5 linked regions of the Xenopus tropicalis genome follow. The protein of the gene in region 4 interacts with the protein of the main gene of each other region in a pairwise test. Links are inferred from orthologs where the notes say so. Each region holds a gene or a part of one and is shown on either strand. Other genes may lie near its edges. The genes, in order: lnx1, capn3, tle5, osgin1 and bcar3.

The links.
Region 1: the proteins of osgin1 (region 4) and lnx1 interact in binary tests that used the Homo sapiens proteins (3 or more experiments, as listed by UniProt). The two-hybrid records come from large-scale screens. The link is inferred for Xenopus tropicalis from reciprocal best matches to the Homo sapiens genes OSGIN1 and LNX1.
Region 2: the proteins of osgin1 (region 4) and capn3 interact in binary tests that used the Homo sapiens proteins (3 or more experiments, as listed by UniProt). The two-hybrid records come from large-scale screens. The link is inferred for Xenopus tropicalis from reciprocal best matches to the Homo sapiens genes OSGIN1 and CAPN3.
Region 3: the proteins of osgin1 (region 4) and tle5 interact in binary tests that used the Homo sapiens proteins (3 or more experiments, as listed by UniProt). The two-hybrid records come from large-scale screens. The link is inferred for Xenopus tropicalis from reciprocal best matches to the Homo sapiens genes OSGIN1 and TLE5.
Region 5: the proteins of osgin1 (region 4) and bcar3 interact in binary tests that used the Homo sapiens proteins (3 or more experiments, as listed by UniProt). The link is inferred for Xenopus tropicalis from reciprocal best matches to the Homo sapiens genes OSGIN1 and BCAR3.

What each region holds. Positions count from the first base shown.
Region 1 is NC_030677.2:39,804,335-39,807,852, reverse strand, and holds part of lnx1 (E3 ubiquitin-protein ligase LNX), read left to right. Parts: intron 1-2,099; exon of another isoform or gene 2,100-2,121; intron 2,122-2,787; 5' UTR 2,788-2,839; coding exon 2,840-3,234; intron 3,235-3,518.
Region 2 is NC_030684.2:109,270,537-109,274,054, forward strand, and holds part of capn3 (calpain-3), read left to right. Parts: intron 1-602; coding exon 603-763; intron 764-1,977; coding exon 1,978-2,147; intron 2,148-3,202; coding exon 3,203-3,214; intron 3,215-3,518. UniProt on the Homo sapiens protein: Calcium-regulated non-lysosomal thiol-protease. Proteolytically cleaves CTBP1 at 'His-409'. Mediates, with UTP25, the proteasome-independent degradation of p53/TP53.
Region 3 is NC_030677.2:114,622,611-114,626,909, forward strand, and holds the start of tle5 (amino-terminal enhancer of split), read right to left. Parts: upstream 2,801-4,299; 5' UTR 2,531-2,800; coding exon 2,498-2,530; intron 991-2,497; coding exon 893-990; intron 1-892. UniProt on the Homo sapiens protein: Transcriptional corepressor. Acts as a dominant repressor towards other family members. Inhibits NF-kappa-B-regulated gene expression. May be required for the initiation and maintenance of the differentiated state.
Region 4 is NC_030680.2:47,894,410-47,898,716, forward strand, and holds the start of osgin1 (oxidative stress-induced growth inhibitor 1), read left to right. Parts: upstream 1-1,500; 5' UTR 1,501-1,608; intron 1,609-4,307. UniProt on the Homo sapiens protein: Monooxygenase catalytic activity. Involved in regulation of cytokinesis; promotes RHOA activity, probably acting locally at the midbody in late cytokinesis.
Region 5 is NC_030680.2:103,985,224-103,989,423, reverse strand, and holds the start of bcar3 (breast cancer anti-estrogen resistance protein 3), read right to left. Parts: upstream 2,805-4,200; 5' UTR 2,602-2,804; coding exon 2,512-2,601; intron 1-2,511. UniProt on the Homo sapiens protein: Acts as an adapter protein downstream of several growth factor receptors to promote cell proliferation, migration, and redistribution of actin fibers.

The sequences.
Region 1 (3,518 bases), on a different chromosome or scaffold from region 4:
CCATAGCAAATTAGTTCTGATCAATAGTTAAATGTAGTCATAACAAAGGTCTGGTTGCCACAGGTTGCTGCGCTGGTATAAAGTTCCACATACAATATCTTGAATCCTCCCTATCCAGCCTCAATGACCATTTTATTATAGACTTTCTGCCCTCCAGCTGCAGTTACAATACAACTTCCATCATCCCCTACTATCAGAGGTGGGGTCTGTTGACGTATAACAACTGATGGAGGACAGATGTTTGGAATTCCCTTTGCTTTGCTTTTTACAATCACAAAGATGCTCCTAATGACAAGTGAAACTGTACTGAATGCAGGAATGCAAGTTTGGGCAATTTCCAGCTAATACCATTATAACCTAACAGAAACCTGCATGTTAAGGCAAGTCTAAAACTTCTGCCAAAACATCTATAGATCAGAAACTTGGCTTTAAGGGAACGGTATCTTCCCCCGAGGGGTCGGTGGCATGTTAATTAGACTTAATTATTCCATGAACTTAATTCTTTTTTCACGTTGCTAACTATAGAATTAAACCATAGAATGTGCCTGTGCAATATCATTGCCCATGCTCTGTTACATGTATGACCCACAAGAGCAGTTGTGGTTGTGCTGTTGTTGCATGAATATACAACATTCCATAAAGGTGCGTACATCTAAAGTGTCTAAAGCGGCCTCTTGAACTCTCACATAGTTGCACTAAATGCTGTTGGTTATACCTCCTATTGTAAGTTACACACAGTGTGCCTATTGATGCAGGGGAACCAGTGGTGTAAATACTCTGCACTGGACCCCCTGCAAAAAAAAATTCAGAGGGGCTTGGTAGCAAACTCTACATGCCCCTCCCCCCCACAGGAGTTCCCCCGCCCACTTGCAAATTTGGAGACGTCCTCCTGAAATCGCACACTGCACTTGCAGTCATAAATGAGCCCCTATAATTCCTGGCAATGTATTAACTGATTTAATCTGGCTATTTTTATGTAACATTTCATGTTTTCTTAAGCACACCTCATAATGATACTTAACTGCTGTCATTAATGGGTGAATGATCTTATTTTATTACACTTCAATAATATGGTTTTATAATTTACAAATTCGCCAAAAAATATGTTTTCAAGTGGTTGTTATTGCTTGCATCTGTAAAAGTACATATATGTCATGGGCTTTCCCTAAACAGATTGGTGTTACAAAAGGATGGAAGTCTCTATGAAGGAATAGTAGCTAGTATAAAACTAGTACCCATGGGTGTGGCGGCAAGTCGTATATTTAACAGGAAATGATCCTCCCTAAACAAGCAGATATAAAATAATATTGCTTATCAAAAAGGAGGTCAAATATTTTTCAGGTTAGAGCAAATAAATACATTCATAGGAAATGTTCTGCCCATAATAGATTTTTTTGATTGGTCCCTATTTGTACAATAATCACTTATCCAAACCAGTGTATATTGTATACTTTGTGTTTATAATGAATTGCACTTTCTATCTCAAGACTTCTTTGTTCCTCTCAAAGGCGCTTTCAGAACACTTTACAGGAGTCACCCTTGTTTTGTGAAATAAGAGACATGAGATGTCTCCGTAAATGACTTTAGCTCTTGTATCGAGGGCAGGTTGAGACTGGCATGAAGATGGATCTATTCTTGTCTATCTGATGGAATGGATATTTACTTTAGTGCAAGGAATGTTACAGAATAATAAATATCCAGGGGCATTCATTTAAGCAGCCAGCATGAGGTAACACCCACATTCTCGATAAATGTAGTGCACCTTCATTATTTAATACTGTCATAAACACCAATTTGTACCTACAAACTTGTCTTAATATGAAATTGTGATTTGTGATTCCAGTAAATGGTACAACCCTGTTTCCAAAAAAGTAAAAATGTAAATGAAAAATGTAAATGAAAAGATACTGCAATACTTTGCAAATTATGTAAACCCTATATTTAATTGCAGATAGTACAAAGGTAACATATTAAATATTAAAACTTGTTATTGTTTTCTTTCTTATGATTGTTTTGGATGGGTGACAGGTCTGGGCTGCAGGCAGATAGGCAGTTTATCACCCAGAATCTCTTACTTGTTGTAAAGCCATGCAGAATGCAGTTCGGCACTGTCTTGCTGAAGTAAGTATGGCCTTCCCTGAAAAAGACGCTGTCTAGATGGCAGCATACAGTATGTTGCTCCAAAACCTCCAGCTTTAATGGTGCCTTCCCAGATGTGCAAGCCACCCATGCCACCACAGATGCTGCCTATTGATAACAAGCCATATGAGCTACCTTCTACTCTTAAGTATCTTTTTAATACTGTAAATGTTTAAATCCCCTACTTTTTATGCAACAATTTACCTTACATGTCTAAATGCGTATTATATAGTTTGTATTGATTTCAGAAGCAAGAGCATTAATAATCATCCCTTACTCCACAAACACCCCTGTCAAAATGTATGGCCAGTTATTCTTGTCCAGCCCTCTCAGGGAGTGATTTATTGTACTATTCCACAGATATGGGTAATATTTCTCTCTTTCTATCCCATTAAACAGGTATGTAATATATGGAATATTTGTAACCTGGTATTTTTCATTATAAAGGGGTCTTTCACGAATGTGGGACACGATGCATTATGGCTACTAAAACATTTCAACTGTAAAAGGGATTATTTTGCATCAACATAGATATATCATAATTTAATAAAAATCATGTACAAGGGCCTTTTTTATTATTAAGATATACAAAACTTATTTAGGCTATAGGCACTAATGTGTTTTGTTGTCTGTATTAACGCCATACAGGTTTGTGTGATCAAGATTGGGACTGAAATCTCCTTGCTCTGCACCCTACATTATGGAGTCAAATGATGCAATTGAAGAACTGGACAATGAAAAACCCCAATCACTGTGTACTGTATGTGGTCAACTGCATTCAGAAGAGGAGAACCATTCTTATACATACACTGAGGAAGTGGATGATGATTTGCTGTGCAATATCTGCTTGCATGCCCTCATACAACCGCTAGACACTCCATGTGGCCATACCTACTGTACTCTCTGCCTCACTAGCTTTCTAGTCCATGAAGACTTTTGCCCTGTGGATCGTAAGCATATTTTGTTGCAGACTTGCAAGAAATCCACCATACTTGTAAAAAATCTTTTAGATAAACTTCCAGTCATCTGCCCATTTAAGGAACACTGTACAGATATTGTTCAACGGTGTGACCTTGAGGAACACTTCCAGAACAGGTATGTTCCTTCTCTATGTCTATGTTATGGTAAATCTGTTTTCCAAGTCACTTATAACATTGTGTTTGTTCTAGTTCTATGACTATGCAACTGATTGTTGTTGCTGTTGAATTAATCTCCATTATTCTGAATTGGTGAGCATCTATGCATTTACAATAGTGCTGCCTTTGGTACAGGTTATAATTTTGTCCAGGTGTCTAGATTAGAAACCTCTAGTGCAAGAATCCCCAACCTTTTTTTACTTGTGAGCCACACTCAGATATAAAACGTGTTGGTGAGCCACA
Region 2 (3,518 bases), on a different chromosome or scaffold from region 4:
GGGTCTTTTCCATAAAAACGATCTTTATTGTAATATTGTTGCCATCTTATCAACGTTTCGGCTCTGGCCTAGAGCCTTTTTCAAGATAAAGGCTCTAGGCCAGAGCCGAAACGTTGATAAGATGGCAACAATATTACAATAAAGATCGTTTTTATGGAAAAGACCCTGGAGTGCACTCGCAGTAATCTTTTTGGAAATATATATATAAATATTCTGTACAGATATGACATAAAGATATAAAAAAAAAGGAAATAGCTGCAAATAACGGAAGATCAAAGTTTCAACTGATGACAACCTGTGCACATTTTATAAGAAAATTGTATGGGTTATTCATGGCATTCTTATATTAATACAGAAAAATACAGTTTGAGACCCTCAGGTGTTTTCTTTCACCTTTGTATCGTCTTTGAGGTCATTTTTCATTAACATCCTTCTTTACCTGCATGACTTATAAAACATTTGGGGGCTGTCATGCTCGTTCCACATTATTATATACTTGGAGAGACATATCACCCTTCCACAAGTGTTCTCGCTGTTATGTCACGGTATATCATTTTGAAATTACAATTTTGATTATTTTCTCCTTGTATACATTTTCCTAGGATGTCTTATGATGATTTTATGAAGAATTTCACCAAGGCTGAAATCTGCAATCTGACACCAGATGCACTGGATTCGGACTCACTCCAAGTATGGACAGTGTCTGTAAATGAAGGGAGATGGGTCAGGGGTTGCTCAGCAGGAGGCTGTCGCAATTATCCAGGTACTAAACTAGCTGAAGAAGAAGAATAAGGCATCAGCTTCCTGTCATGGTTATGTTGCCTATACTGTAGGTGTTAACGTTGCATCCTGGATACATTTAACGGTGTTGGTCTAAATAATACTATCAATAACCTCCCAAGGCTAATGATGCAAAATATTTTACACACTTAAATATCTTGCTATATACTATAAGTGCATCAACTTGTATGGATCTGTAGCCATATCACACCTTGCTTGCTGGGGGGTTCCAAAGGTGGAGTTTTGTAAAAATGGAGCAAAATCGTCATAAAAAGAAGCAATGTCACCATAACATTTTGATTTTAAAAAATGCGAAGGTGGGCATTGTAAAAATCTGATTGGAGTTAAGATGTTTGTAAATTTGGATAGCTGATGAATGTGTTATTCCAGTTTCAGGCTAAATCCAAATTTCCAGCTAGTTTTAGGGTAGAGAGAGATACTCGGGCTTATTTATGACCGCAAGTAAGTTGTTGTCCCCGCTATTTCCCCACAGTCAGTTACACTTAAAACGACTTTCATTAAAGTTACTTGCGTCAAGATGCACTCCCTGCACCTCCATATACATAAACTTGGCACAGCTCAGCCATTTTGCCTTCCTTGAATTGCACACCGAACACTGGAAACGAGGTTTTGTACGATATCATCGGTGTGTGTATGGCCAGCTTAAGAGGCATCTATTTATATTTGAAGCATTATAGAATAACTTCACAAACACTGCGGCTCATTTATCAACATTCTCATTCATGGTTTTAGAGGTTTCTGAAACCCCATTTTTATGAATGTCAGTCATTTATCAAAAGATCCAAACTTTTAAAAACCCTCAAACTTCCTAATTTTCTAAGCCTTTATCTAGCATGTTACCAATGGACCGGCACATACAACCTAGATTCCAGTACTCAGTGGTAATTGTAGGACTGTAACTGATGTATGAAGTAGGGAAGTTAGGGGTCACATTTAAGCTTATGTCTTGGAGAATGGAATTTTTAGTATTCATTGTTGTGAGTCTATGGACAGATCATGTCAGCACATTTCCTTATTTATTAGATTTAGGAATTGGGACAGAGGTGTTACAGTAGAGGTGGTCTTCCTTTTGCCAATGCTTGTGATACAGCACCATATAAATAGCTGCTCATGAGGATGTGGCACCGTTACCAAGAAAATGTATATAATGACATGAATGTATCCATACCATTGCAGACACCTACTGGACCAACCCTCAGTATCGTCTTAAGCTGCTGGAGGAGGATGATGACCCTGCTGACAATGAGGTTGTCTGTAGTTTTGTTGTTGCTTTAATGCAGAAGAATCGAAGGAAAGATCGAAAGGCAGGAGCCAATCTTTTCACCATTGGTTTTGCAATATATGAGGTAACTGAATTGTAGCTGAGCTCTAACGTTCTCTATATGATGTCAAACAGTACCTTATAATAGCAAGTTATTCGGCACAAGGTGTAGAGTTCAGCCAGATCCATGGCAGAAGTGCTCTGAATGAGCAATAAGGGGCGTGCTCTTGCACTTCTACCCAAGGTCTTAGTAAATTGCCCACAGGGCTGCCATTGGGGGGAGATGGGGTACTATTGTGCCTGGCCCTGAGAAATCTTCTTCCTTAAGGCACCCAGTCACTTCACAAAAGTTGCGCAAGTTACGCATAAAGTTATGCCAAAACACAATTATGCAATTTACGTGACTTCTGCAAAAACTACAAAACCTGCCTAGTAACTTGCGAATCAAGCAAAAGCCAATGCAGAAGCTTTGCAGGGACAAACTCCACTGACCCCCAATGAATTAAAAAACTTAAGGAAAATTCCACTGCCCCCAATAAACTGACTGACTTATTAGCACATTGATTATCACTTTAACTATTTATATGGATTGCTTATTATAACGTAAAATCAGCTGTTTATATTGGGATCTATTAACTGAATTATATGAGTTAATGAACTTTGCAGCAGGGGAATAACTGGTTATTGGGCCCCACAGCAACATCATTGGCCCCTAAACTTACGCAGTTTAAATAACTTATGCAAAAACATATGTAACTTCAATATCAAGCAATGACAGCACAGAACAGGGGTAGGTAGGTGGGAAGGGGTTAAACTTGGGGCAAACTCAACTGACCCCCTATGAACTGACTGAATTATGAGCAAATTAATCAATTGAACTTTTTATATGCACTGCTTATTATAGAGTAACATAAGTTGTTTATATATTTACACAAGGGGCATTGCCATAATTTTGGTACTGCGTGCTTGTGTTAATGGGGGGACCCATATGAATAACTTGTGTTGGGCCCCAAAGTTTCTGATGGTGGCCCTGATTGCCCGTACAGACTATTGACTTTATCTAGCTCTATTTTTGTATTGTTCTTCCTGACTTTATTCTTACAAATTATATTTAACAATTATTTTATTTTTCATTTTAAGGTTCCAAAAGAGGTATGATGTGTAAGGATGGGTAATGAAGAACTGCTTGCTGATTTGTTTGTGGCTTTGTGATCCTGTTGGAACATCTTCAGTTGGGTTTGTTTGCTGTGTTACTTCTAACTTTCTGGGCATGAGTGACTAAAGGGTTCCTTTTGGGGCAGGAGTAGGCCCTGAGGGTAGGGCAAGCAGGTGGGAACCTTGGACAACGTGTTGACATTAACGTACATAGAAGTACTTAATGTACTGCTTTCCCACCCAATAATAATTCCCCAAAGTGAAATACAGTAATTATATTCAAAATGGCTGCTTCCCCACT
Region 3 (4,299 bases), on a different chromosome or scaffold from region 4:
TGCAGTTGGACAGTACAGGTATTCAGCTATCTGGAAATCTGTTATCCAGAAAACTCCGAACAACGGTAAGGTCATCTCTCATAGGCCCCATTTCCATTTTCTCTGTAATAATAAAACAGTACCTTGTACTTGATCCTAACAAAGACATAATTAATCTTTATTGGAGGCAAAACAACACTGTTGGGTTTATTTAATGTTTAAATTTTGCTTTAGTGAACTTAAGCTATGGAGATCCAAGTTACAGAAAGATCCCTTATCCAGAAAGCTTCAAGTCCCAAGCATTCTGGGTAACAGGTTCCATACTTGTACAGACTTAGCTGCTTATACTAAAAGAATAAGGGTTCTTAAACACTGGCATTTTAGTGTAGGGACCCAAATATCAGTATATCATGTTTAAGGGCCAGGTTATATTAAATTTATGTCAAACAAGTTAGCTACAGGTCATCATGTATGTGTCCTAACAATACTATGCCATAAAAAACATAAAATGTAGTGTTTGGCTAATGTCGCATGGAGCCAGTCAGTCACCTGCAATAGATTTCTGCTACCATGGCTGACTACTGTGCCAAAATGCCTTTCCACTGGCAAGCCAAAGCGATGCGTATAACTTTCCACTGGCGACTCCTAACTCCTATTGTTGCAGGTGGAAAGGCATTTCGGAACAGCTAGTTGCCTGTGGTAGCAAAGATCTATAGTGGGCGACTAACTGCACCATTAGCCTTAAGGTGGCCGTACAGGGGCTGATTAAAGCTGATGACTTGGTTCCTCCCGACCTAGTCGGCAGCTTATTGGCATGTGTAAATTCTAGATAACAATCGGCAGGCTTGAAAACCTCATCAGACAAAAGGTGCATTGGCGTGGCCCTCAGTGTCAAAATGAAGCAATTTCCTACCTGTGATACTGTGCCTGCAGCAGTTGAAATTCATCCTTAATTCTATCACATGAATCTGAGGTTGTGAATTTGAGTTGCTGGGGCAAATGCGAAGAGCCCTAAGGAAAAAAAAATCATAATAGAAATTCCATGTGAAAACATTTGCAGCCTTAATGGAATCCACAGGACACTTGGCTAATTAGTGGTTAAATTAAAGGCATAGTATACCCCTTTAATGATCACCAGTCCATTGAGAAACCTCTGTATAATGAGCTACTCATTTCAGAGTCTAACAGGTTGCATCAAGGGGCAGGGAGGGGTTTATTTATACAAAGGGCTTCTCAGTGGACTAGTAATTTGTTTTGATTGTGTTCCCATGAGTCAGGAGGTAGAATAGGGTAAAAGAAGAGTTCTACAACAACTTTTGTCTTTGTTTGCCACCTCACCCCTTTACACCTAAATGGCTTATGCAATATGTATTATTATGTTAAGCTAAAAATACCTTTGGAAACATTAGCTGCCATATCAGTTAGATATCTGCTGGGCAGGTTTGAAAATATCATAAAATAAGGGCCACTTGGTTGTTTATACGCTCAGTTCCTAATCAACCAAGTATAGGCCCCTATAATGATCTGATCAGCGGCCATAAAGCCAAACAAACCTTGGTGGCCAAATCACAAGATAATTCACTTGTTTGCCGACTTCACCAAATGAGTGGATCTTTCAGTGTATGGAAGGCTTTAAGCACATAATACATGGCTGCAGCAAGCATAGTTATTACTAATAATTAGCTATTTCTGTTAAGTATATGTATCCCATTTCCAAGGGAGAAGGCAGCAACTAGAACACTGCTTGGTCATTATTTTGACAATTGGAGGCTCACTTTTCTGTGGTACAGTACATGATACATGAATATCTCAATTATGCACTGCCAATATGGTGAGGGCCACATTTGTCAGGCACCTCTGGTGATTACCTTGGACCCCAGGCTAATACTGCTCTTCACTAAAAAAAACACAGTGGCCAGGATACTATTTTAGGGTGCACCACCATCTTGCTTCCTTGCTGCTGCTCTGGGTCATGTGCAATACAGCAAAATATTTGGCTTGCAGCTTCAGTCCTGATTTTGCTCTATAGCATGTGCTCATTACCCAGGGCAGAAGTAAGAATTGCATGGACAGAAAGCAAGCTGGCAGCACTCCCTACAATAGTGCCCCAGGGCAGTGCAATTTTAAGCACAAAGGCAACTCCAATGGGGGGGATTGAGGCTAGTAATTATAATTATTGGGGAGGGGATGCCTACCATTGCCCCTTCCAGTAATTTCTTGTCCTTAACATGTATTTATAAAGAGGCAGCACATTGCACAGCAGTGTGTAATACTGGATATCACCTCGAAAATATAACAATGCTACCAGTGCTCTAGACGGCAAAGATGGATTCAACAGAATTCTGAAACTCTACTACAACACTAAGCCCTTTCGGCTCCTGCAACGGCAGGACTTCCTGCAACAAAAAAATCCTACCCCCATATTGCTTTTAGCGTCTCCAGCAGATGAACATGTTCTATACAAATATAACACACAATAATACAGTAGTACATTCAGTTCTACCCCTCGCCTTCTCACCGAGTGCCGGCTGCTGCTTTGAGGAAACATCATATCCCACCCGGCCCCGGTATGTACGGCGCTACGCACAGGCTCAGTATCCAAGGCCCGGCTTCCTGTGCGCTTTATCCAAGGGCTCAGTGCACTTTGGGAAGGCTTCGCTCTGCTTCTCAGCCGGCACTACTGCTTTGGGCCCAGATATGTGATCCGCAAACCCCAGATGATCTTCTGGCCGCTCTGTGTGCTGTCAACCAGGACCTCTACTGTCCCCTTGGCCTCGTCCCTTCTTGATCTCTAACCCGGTAATGCTCCCCCACCCCTGAGGCTACGGCCTGCCCTGCTTCACTACACGATCTCCTAGCTCTCTACCCACTCAGGAGCCTTTTGTTTAATGGCGTCTGTGCTTAAGCAGATATATGGCTCCCTCTACAGGTCACAGTTTCAATGATTCAATTTCCCATGTAAGGATCCCTTGTCCTTTTAGCTGATTTTAAAATTCCTGAAAAAATGAAAGCTTATCAGTTACATTCAATGAACCCTGCTATACAGACCTCAGTGGGAGCATCATTTCGCTAATTTTTAGAGGCTGCCTTATTTTAATCTCCCTTAAGAATATTTTTTGTCTCTGTATATATCTAAGGCTTTTACAACAATCATCTGAACTGAAGTAATTCAATTTTTACCAGTGGTGAAAGTAGATGTTACTAAGCCCTCAACATATTCATTAAAGGGGCACCCAAAATTTCTGGAGAAATTGTTTAGTAATTATGGCCCCACTGGGCCCTCAACATTTCTGGCCTGCTACAAACTCCTGGCTGCACAGATTTTGCTTCCAGACACTCACACATGATGTTCAGTTCTTGGTAATTATGGGGTGCAAAAGATAAGACACTGATGGCCTCGTTTACTAAGGGCCTACAGCACCATGTTGTTCAACCTTCACACCAATGCACTGAGCATTTGCATCTGATCAGTTTATGTTTAGATGAACACGGTTTCCCAATGGCACACTGGTGTAACAATGCAAAATGCTGACAAAAACATGGAGCCTTGCAGAATGACATCTAAGGCTAATGTCCCATGGAGCAAGTTAGTCGCCCGCGATAGATCTCGCTACCGCGGACGACTAAGTGCTCCAAAATGCCTTTCCACTGGCAACTATAGGAGTCGCTGGTGGAAAGGCCTACGCATCGCTTTGGCTTTCCCAATTCGCACAAAGTTTCCTCCTGCAGGCAACTTTGGAAAGCCGAAGCAATGCATAGGCCTTTCCATCGACTCCGATTGTTGCCACTGGAAAGGCATTTCAGAGTGATTAGTTGCCCGCAGTAGCAGAGATCTACAGCGGACAACTAACTTGCTCTTTGGGCCATCAGCCTTAAATGAACCAAATTATTTAACTAAAACAACTGTCTCACTGTAAATGTGATTTTGGGCCACAGTAAAAATCTCAACTTAATCAAGAAAAGTTTAAAGTAATAGGACAGCAAACAATACAGTACTAAATTCCTCTCTGCACCTCAGACTTATTTAGGCATTATTACAATATAGTTCTATATTGGACCATCATTTAGTCAAGAGGAAAAGGCTCAGGTTTTTTGAGAGATGAGAATCAACCAAACTCTAGCTTCCTGAAGCACTCAATTTAATGGTTGCACACAAAAAGTTGAGATTGTATCTGTTTTTTTTTAATCTGGTTTAATAAATGCTAGCTATATCCTACAATATCCAGTGTTTATAATAGTATCAGTTTATGCTATTGTGCTGACTTTGCCTTGTTGTTTTTTCACACCACAGTCACTCTGCTAATTAATCATTGGTCTGTA
Region 4 (4,307 bases):
GATTTGGTGCATCCCTAGTGGTAATAAACTGTTGGTGTACAGAAACAATTCCTTTACTGTTTCTAAATAGGGAGATCCTTGCCTTCCTTTTCTCCTTGCCTCACAACATGGAACTGTTTCTGAGCAGAAGCCTATTGTTACTGAGCAGCTCTCTAAATGCCTGAAATAGAATTTGTGCCAAAGACAGGTCTGAAGTTATTCATTGCTCCCAATAACATTAAACTAATGTTTACATAAAACACTGCTGTTAAGTAAATAAATAAATAATATATTATAAATACACAATTTCCCTTCTCTGCACAGTAACATACACTATATGTAAATGTTTTTCCATAGATTAACAGTGCATGGACTGAATATGCGGAGCAGGGAGTTCTTAAGAAATCTACGAAGATAACAGACTTATGCTCCTCTATGGGATAGGGCACAAAGAAATTTAGTAAATGTAATGCATATTCGATTTCACTGGAGAAATCCTGGTAGGTACCTTTGGCTTAGCTACACAAGATAGAGAAAGACAGAATAGTGTCAAGAGCAGGGGGGTGGTCTGTAGTGGTGGGTCTGTGGTGGTGGTGGGTCTGTGGTGGTGGGGGCCCTTGAGGTCACGTTCTCCAGTGGGCCCAGAATACTTAGTTTGACATTGGTCACCTGATACTGGATAAGGAGATGAGATGACACGCTCTCACCTGAATTAAGGAGGAATTGAATGGGGTAACAGTGGACCTTAGCAATGTAATTTAACTAACTCCTACAAACTCACTTTAGGGTAAAGCAGGGGTCAAGCAAGTGAAGAAAGAAGCAAAGTCCTACTTCAGCTAAATAAAGAGGGGTAGGAGTTTGACCCCCAGGGTTTAGTATAGATCTTGGCACTTGGCACTTCAGAAATTGAATTTGCTTCTGAACTGAACTTTTACACCATTCAAAAGTAGATCATCTTTACTGGCTGCCAGATGCTTTTGTTGTACCATGCTGCAAATTTTACAGTTTGCCTTCTGCCAAGGCAAACAGATTTTTCCACATTGCAGTTTTGTGTATCATTTTTTGTTTAAAATGAAAAGTTCAAGTCAACTAAATTAGACTGAATCTTAATAGAACTAATGGTCAGACATTTGGTAGGGGGAAGACAAAATGCTAGAGTGAATGAGGTCTTGCACTTTCATCCCTGATGATATGATTATTTCCCTTTCCAAGTTTTAATTCTTCTCACAGGATGTTCTCTCCTCTACCATCTGTCACTTTCTGTCTGTATCTACTTGTCTGCTAGCCACCAGTACAAACTATCCATAGTGGTTCACCCCTTGGTCAGCCTGCCAACCTGCCTTCCTCCCCTCCTCTGGCTCTCTGGCTATGCTTTACAGCAGTGGCAGTCTTGTAATGGTGGTTATGTCACTGCAGCTTGATTCATTCATAAGCTGTCCTGCTGACTCATGCTTATGCTTTAAAATTCATTTCTTTCCCAGGGCAGCTCCTCCCTCTCACACTATCAGTCCCCAGCTCTATTTAACCAGCCAGTCTGATCACTGCACATGCATAGAAGGTTGAAGTTTTTTTTTAGCAGCAGACATCTGCCTGAATATCAGTTGCCCACTGGATACTTCTTCTGCACTGGTAAGAAAGCAGCATGAGGACTGAATATAGCATAGTACTTACACAGTTCTAATTGCCTAGTGATAAGCCAGTACTGTAACTGTGCTCAGAGGAGCAAAAAACAATATATACAAACAAAATTCACATTTAGGGCGGCAGCCTAGGAGTCAACTAGTGGATTTAAAGTAAAACTGGTGAAATAGAAACTGTTTTCAAAAGTGAAACCTTTATATTCTTTTATGTAAACTTGATTCCCACAGTAATATCCAGGGAATACAGGAAGCAGGTAGGGTGCCTTTGTAAAGCTAACAGTTCATTTAATAAAAGGATTAGAACAATAAATTACTGTTCTTTGTTTGTTCTACTGTAAATGGAGCACTGATTGCTCACTGTACTGTACATTTTGTACCACACAGAGTAGAATGGACATCTACTGTTCTATTTGGTTTGTCCTCTCAGGGTATGCAGCAACTGTAGTGTATAGTATTCACTACAGGAAACAGGTAGGATAATCACTTTACAATATACTACAAGTGGCAGGGAGAATGTTCATCCTCACTGAGCTATAGAGCATATACTAAATAGAACAGATAGCATTGCTCATCATGCTGTATAGCAATGATTCCATAATTGTGTGGCTGCCCCCTATGGCGCCCTGGTGCAGGGACTAGGGGTCTAGTTTGAAGGTCTGGTAAAGAAAGTTGGGGGGAGAATGGAATCCCCACTCTGTTAACTTCTGTGTATTTTGGTGTGAACACTTATTTAATATTTTATATAATCTTGGACCTGTTGCTAAAACACTGATATATGTATGTTTTCTATAGTTGTCACTTTGAGCTAATAGGACCATAATGAAATGTTGGACTTCAGAGGGGTGCATGACCATAAAAAAGTATATAAACCATTGCAGTAGATGTGGGTACGTTATAATTTATACCTCACATGTCCTATTATGGGCCAGATTCAATTTGATGAGAAAAGCTTATATCCTGATACAATTGCAGATCTTCCCAAAGAGCCAGATGAAATTCAAGTAGAAAAATGTATCTCACTCTTCATCACATAAAAATTCTGTTGAAATCTATAGAAAAAAATTAAACTGAAGCAGGAGAAATGCTTTCTCTGCTCAAATGTAATCTTGCCTGTAAATTTTCACATGATAAATCATAACATTTTCTCACAGAATGAATTGTGGCCCTACATTGGAATTATATCAGGAAGGCTAAAGTTTATGAGAATAGAAAATCCTAACCAGCAGGCCATATTTTAACAGAAAGAGCGGGCACAAACTGTAGTGCGTACAAAGATAGAAGCAACTACTAAAAGCATGAGGCAAAATGCATGGGTCAGGTGCATAGTAAACAAAATACATGGGGCTTTGTGTCCATTTTTTGCCTACAGAACCTTTGTAAGTAAGAAAATCTATGTTACATATATACAAAAGTAACTGCTGTATTTCCGAGTAAAATACATGCCCCATAACAGTGCATGCATGTTGTTATGAGTTATGTAAGAAAGTTCATGACACTGATATAATGCACAGAAAAAAATGAAAAAATATGTCAAGGAGTAAACCAGGGTAACTGGATTCTTTTCACTTGCAAAAGTTTATAGAAGAGATGAGAATGACTTGTGGGAATGTGAATGTATTCAACCACATCACTGTTCGATGAAATTCTGTGCATTCAATGTATATACCCAAATACTTCTTTATTAGTAATTAGAAATATTTGGTGTGGGTTTAACACAGCTTGATCGCATTCTTCACACCCGGCCCTGCTGTCTTGCTGGTTGTTATACAGTAACAGACAAGCCTTTCCTCTTGTTTTTACTCGGTGTCACACACAACCCAACATTCGTGGCCAGTCAGTAGTACTTTAGTATGATTTGGTAGTCACCAGGAATGCATTAGAATCTGATATCTTCCACACAATACTGCCCTAGATTTTCAGTGATTGAGCATTAAGGAGTGCAGTCATGTGCGCATCTGTCCAGGGACTTTGCAAATGATGGCAAGTGTGTGCTCGGGCCATGTTTTTTTAATAAATCTGTAAACTAAGGGGATCCATACCCAGACTGTGATGGAGAAGCCAACCTGACAGGGAACTAACTCTGACAAGAAGAAGTGTAGGAGTAAAATTGACATAAAGTAGTAGAAGAGCTCTGTCCATTCACTGGTTATTGTAACCTGGTATGTATGTGTGCCTTTGATTAGTGAATCATATGAGCCAAGGGAAAGCCCTTAGTACTTAAAATGGCACTTAAAACGGTACTTGAAAAAATGTGCAATGCCACATATTTCTATAAAAGTAAATTTTTTTTATTAAAAAGGTTTATTTAGACAAGGTAGTTACATAGTAACGTAGTAAGTTGGGTTGAAAAAAGATATACGTCCATCACTTTCAACCATAATGCCTATATATAACCTGCCTAACTACTAGTTGATCCAGAGGAAGGCAAAAAACCCCATCTGAAGCCTCTCTAATTTGCCGCAGAGGGGAAAAAATTCCTTCCTGACTCCAAGATGGCAATCGGACCAGTCCCTGGATCAACTTGTACTAAGAGCTATCTCCCATAACCCTGTATTCCCTCACTTGCTAAGAATCCATCCAGCCCCTTCTTAAAGCTATATAATGTATCAGCCAGCACAACTGATTCGGGGAGGGAATTCCACAACCTCACAAGCTCTCACAGTAAAAAATCCTCTTCTCCAGTGTAAA
Region 5 (4,200 bases), about 56 Mb from region 4:
GTATTGTAAGAGATGCTATATAATATCATTTTAATTGCACTATTTTATTCATTACCTGCCCAACAATTAGCAATCTCAGACAGACTAATATAACTGGAGATGGCACTAGGATACAGTGATGACATTCTGGGTGCCGTATATAATTAGGAACTCTTTACACATGTACCAAAAGTCATATGAAACGGTGCATGTATGGCCATGTACACACGCATGCTTAGACTATGCCTTGAGCATGGGGTCCAGCTGTGGACATTGTGTAAAAACATTTTTTTTTTCATGATTTATATGTAAATGTGTATATGTTAATATAATTAAAGAAATGAAATGGAAGATTTAATTTAAAATGCATACTGATATTATCAATATGTGCAAATAAGAACAAGACCAATACAAACATGTAGCAAAGCATTGTACAATAAGACGTGAAGGTGACACTGGCATCCAGCAAAGAGGTACCTACCATAAATATGAGTGGGAAACAGCACCAGTGCTGGCACTTTTCGGCCTAAAAAAGTGCTTTAAAGCACTAGTAGAGGTATAGGACCTATTATCAAAAATGCTTGGGACCTGGGGTTTTCCCGAATAAAGGATCTTTAAAAATTTTGGATCTCCATACCTTAAGTTTGCTAAAAAATCGTTCAGATATTGAATAAGCCCAATACGTTTGTTTTGCCTCCAATAAGGACTGATTATATCTTAGTACCTTGTACTTAAGGTGGCCATACACGGACCGATTTTTTACTTACAAACGACCGATTCCCGAACGATCCGATGCTATCGTTAAGTTATCGTATAGTTGGTGGTGTACGAACGATCGTCGGCCCACTAAACGAGCCGACATTATCGTCCCCAAAATCGATCGACCAGGTTTAAAAATTTTGGTCGTTTAACGATAAAATCTGCCAGTTGGTGTGAGTGTCAGACATTTGTCTTTCAACGATTGTTCTCTGCGCATGTCACGATTGCCAGCAGCGGAAGTCAACGACATCGATCGTACGTAGATGTACGATCGTAGGTATTTTACGATAATGATGCGACAAAATCTTTCCCGAATTATCGTTGCCCGTGGATGGCATATCGTATGGGAACTCGATCGCCATACGATCGTTTGTCGATATAATCGTTCATCGCACAACGAGCGAAATCGCCTCGTGTATGGCCACCTTTAATCCAAACTGTTTTTTTTTTTTTAAGTACAGGAAAAAAGGGAACCATTTTCAAAAATTAGAATTATTTGCTTATAATTGAGTCTATGGGACAAGACCATTCCGTAATTTGGAACTTTCTGGATAACAGGTTTCCAGATAACAGATCCCATACCTGTACTAGTATTGTAATGGTTTTACCATTAAGGTAAATGAGGGTTGAGGGTTAATTAAGGTCATTTGGCTAACTTAGGAATGCTAGACCTGCATCACTGGTGAAGTTACATTCTTTCCCTTAGATATAGGGATCTGTGTTGCACACCTTAATAAGCACAGGGCCCACCATCAATATATCTGAACACAATGTATAGTATCTCCTGGCTGTATGAAGCAGTAAATTAGCGTTGCCTTTACCCTGATGTAATTGAGCTGTTTTTGAGCAACAGCAGGTTAGAGTATTGGAAGTTAGAGTTCACAACAAGCAGAGATCCACTGATGGCTTCCTCTGCACATGGTGAGGAGAAAAGTATTCTAAGAAGTATTTGGATGAATGACTTGTATTTTACAGACACTTGCTCTGAATGATTCTTGGAAAAAGACAAAAATGATAAAAATATGCACTGAAACCTTATAAATTCCCTGCAGTAAAATCAAACTTTGTTGAAAAGTCTTACTTGTGTATGTATTTCATATTAAGGCATTTCAACAATTATAAACAAAAAGGCACTAAACTTATGGGAACAATACAAAAGCAAAAAATGGACTATACAGTGACAACTTCTGTGAACACAAAGTTCCTCAATGTATATATTATATTCCAGAGCAAGGCTGTCAAAATGGAGGCGCAAGGGCTAGGCGTGGACCTCCAAGGGATATTATGGCTGCTCACGTGTTCCAAAGACTTCTTTATATTAAATAACCATTTTTAAATAACCCAGCCTCAAACTGAAAGCAAACCCAGAATCCTTAGGAAAGGGCTGTTTGCAGCAAATTTTTAATTACAACAATACACAATAAGGTGTATACATTCATCAAATGCACCAATGAACAGATCAGACACTAAGTATAGGCAACCGTGGTTGGGAAACTACGGCTCCAAGCATCTCTACTGGCATCTCTAAGTTCTAGAGTTGCATGTTCTTTTTCTAAATATGATTAGAGACCCAGGATTAAATACTTGTGTATGACAGACTTAAACATCTAATGCCTGTTGGAAGATACAAGATCAGTAGTCCAGCAACAGCTGGAGGGTCAATGTCTACAGTTTGAGCAAATGAGACACTAATGCCACACATACATGTTACAAAGAGAAGGCAGGCCACCCTGCACTGAGTCTAAGCATACATTCACGTAACAGAACACTCACCTTCACCACAATGACGGATTTCCGATGGTAGAAACAGCACAGGGCTGATGTTAAAGTCTCAAAGAAATTACAGAAACAATCCTTAGACATTTTCAAAGCTTTCGAGGGGAGGTTATTAAGCACTTAAAGGATTACAGCACAAAACCTTTGGCTGTTCCCACGATAATGCCTTCATTCACTGCAAAGTTCCAATTTGCGCTGTGATCCTACATTGTCCCTGTGATCCTACAATCTGCCTTGCACTGTGACATTTGGCTGGGGCTGTTTGCTCGGATGGGGCTGTGACTGTGAACTCAGTGAATTCTGGCATGCAGTCACACAGCCTCCATGTATAGAGTGCTGCAAGTCTCATGTGACCCCTTCAGCTCTCCAATGAAATTCTAACCATCTGAGAAGCCCTTACTAGCTGGTCTCCCTAAGGGATTTATTTCTGTATACAAAATATTAGACATCTCTCTGCTCCTCACATACCTCATGCACCATGCTCTCTGTCACCAGCAATATTTCCTACAGCCTCTAGCCTCACTAGAGGTAAATGCCAAAGCCCTACCTACTATTAACCTTGACTCACAAATCCCACACTCTCCAGTGTGAGCAGTTTATTTGGAGAATGTGGAAGCAGGCTGATAATTGATTCCTCTAAATGGCAATCTGCTTCTGTTGCGCTGAGATAAAGGGGGGGAAATCTTGCACTGTTTACTTTTAATTAGAAAAACCGTGTTAGTGGACGGTAAGGAGCTGAAACTCAAAGCCCTGGGCACTGCTGCAGCGGCCTGCTAACAGCTTGCAAATAGGCAGTGTTTAACCAGCAGGCTCATTTCCAAATAGCACTGAGAGGTGTAGCACTCATTCATTCAGAAAAGGGAACTACTGTACTATTTGCACTTCACTTAAATGCCATAGAGGTTTCTGCCATCAGCTGGGTAATGGTGACCAGGTATAGTGTACTAACTTTGCAATAAAAGTTTTGATGTTCTTGGGTTAATGAATAAGAATTTTTTTTACTATGTCAGTCTGTAAAAAACATTGCCTTCTTATCATATTCATCTTTACTGGTAGGGTGAGTGCTATCTCTATTCTCATCTAGCCTTTTCACTTATTTAGTCCTTCGGCTGATCCATCGGCTGACATCGATAGGTTACAGGCTGTCGGCATGAGGCCCACTTTAATGTGCCAATGCATTTCTTCTCCCAATGGGTTTTTAAACCTGCCCGATCAACATCTGAGGGCCCCATGCACTGGCAGATAAGCCGCTGACCTTAAGGGCTCTGGCACACAGGGAGATTAGTCGCCCGCGACAAACTTCCGCGAATTAGTTGAAATTGCGGCACGGCGTATGCCATCCCACCCGCGATTTCAATTTTCGCCGGTGGAATGCCAATTCGGGGAGATTAGTCACCCGCGAAAAGAGCGATTTGTTGCGGGTCTGAATTCCATGCTTTTTATTGACCACTCTTCACTGTCAAACAGCAACTCTGCACAGTATCCATGTCGCCAGCTCCCCACCACCTGCTCATCACTCCATTCCACACCCTGGCTTGGCCCAGCACTGAGTGAGGTGAGTATATAATGTAAGAGTTTCTTTTAATCTAAAATTATTCTATTAGATGGAGATAGGTACACTTACATGCCTAGTAAACCTGGCTTTAATTGCATTTTGATTGAATTGCTTAAATGACTAAAAACATG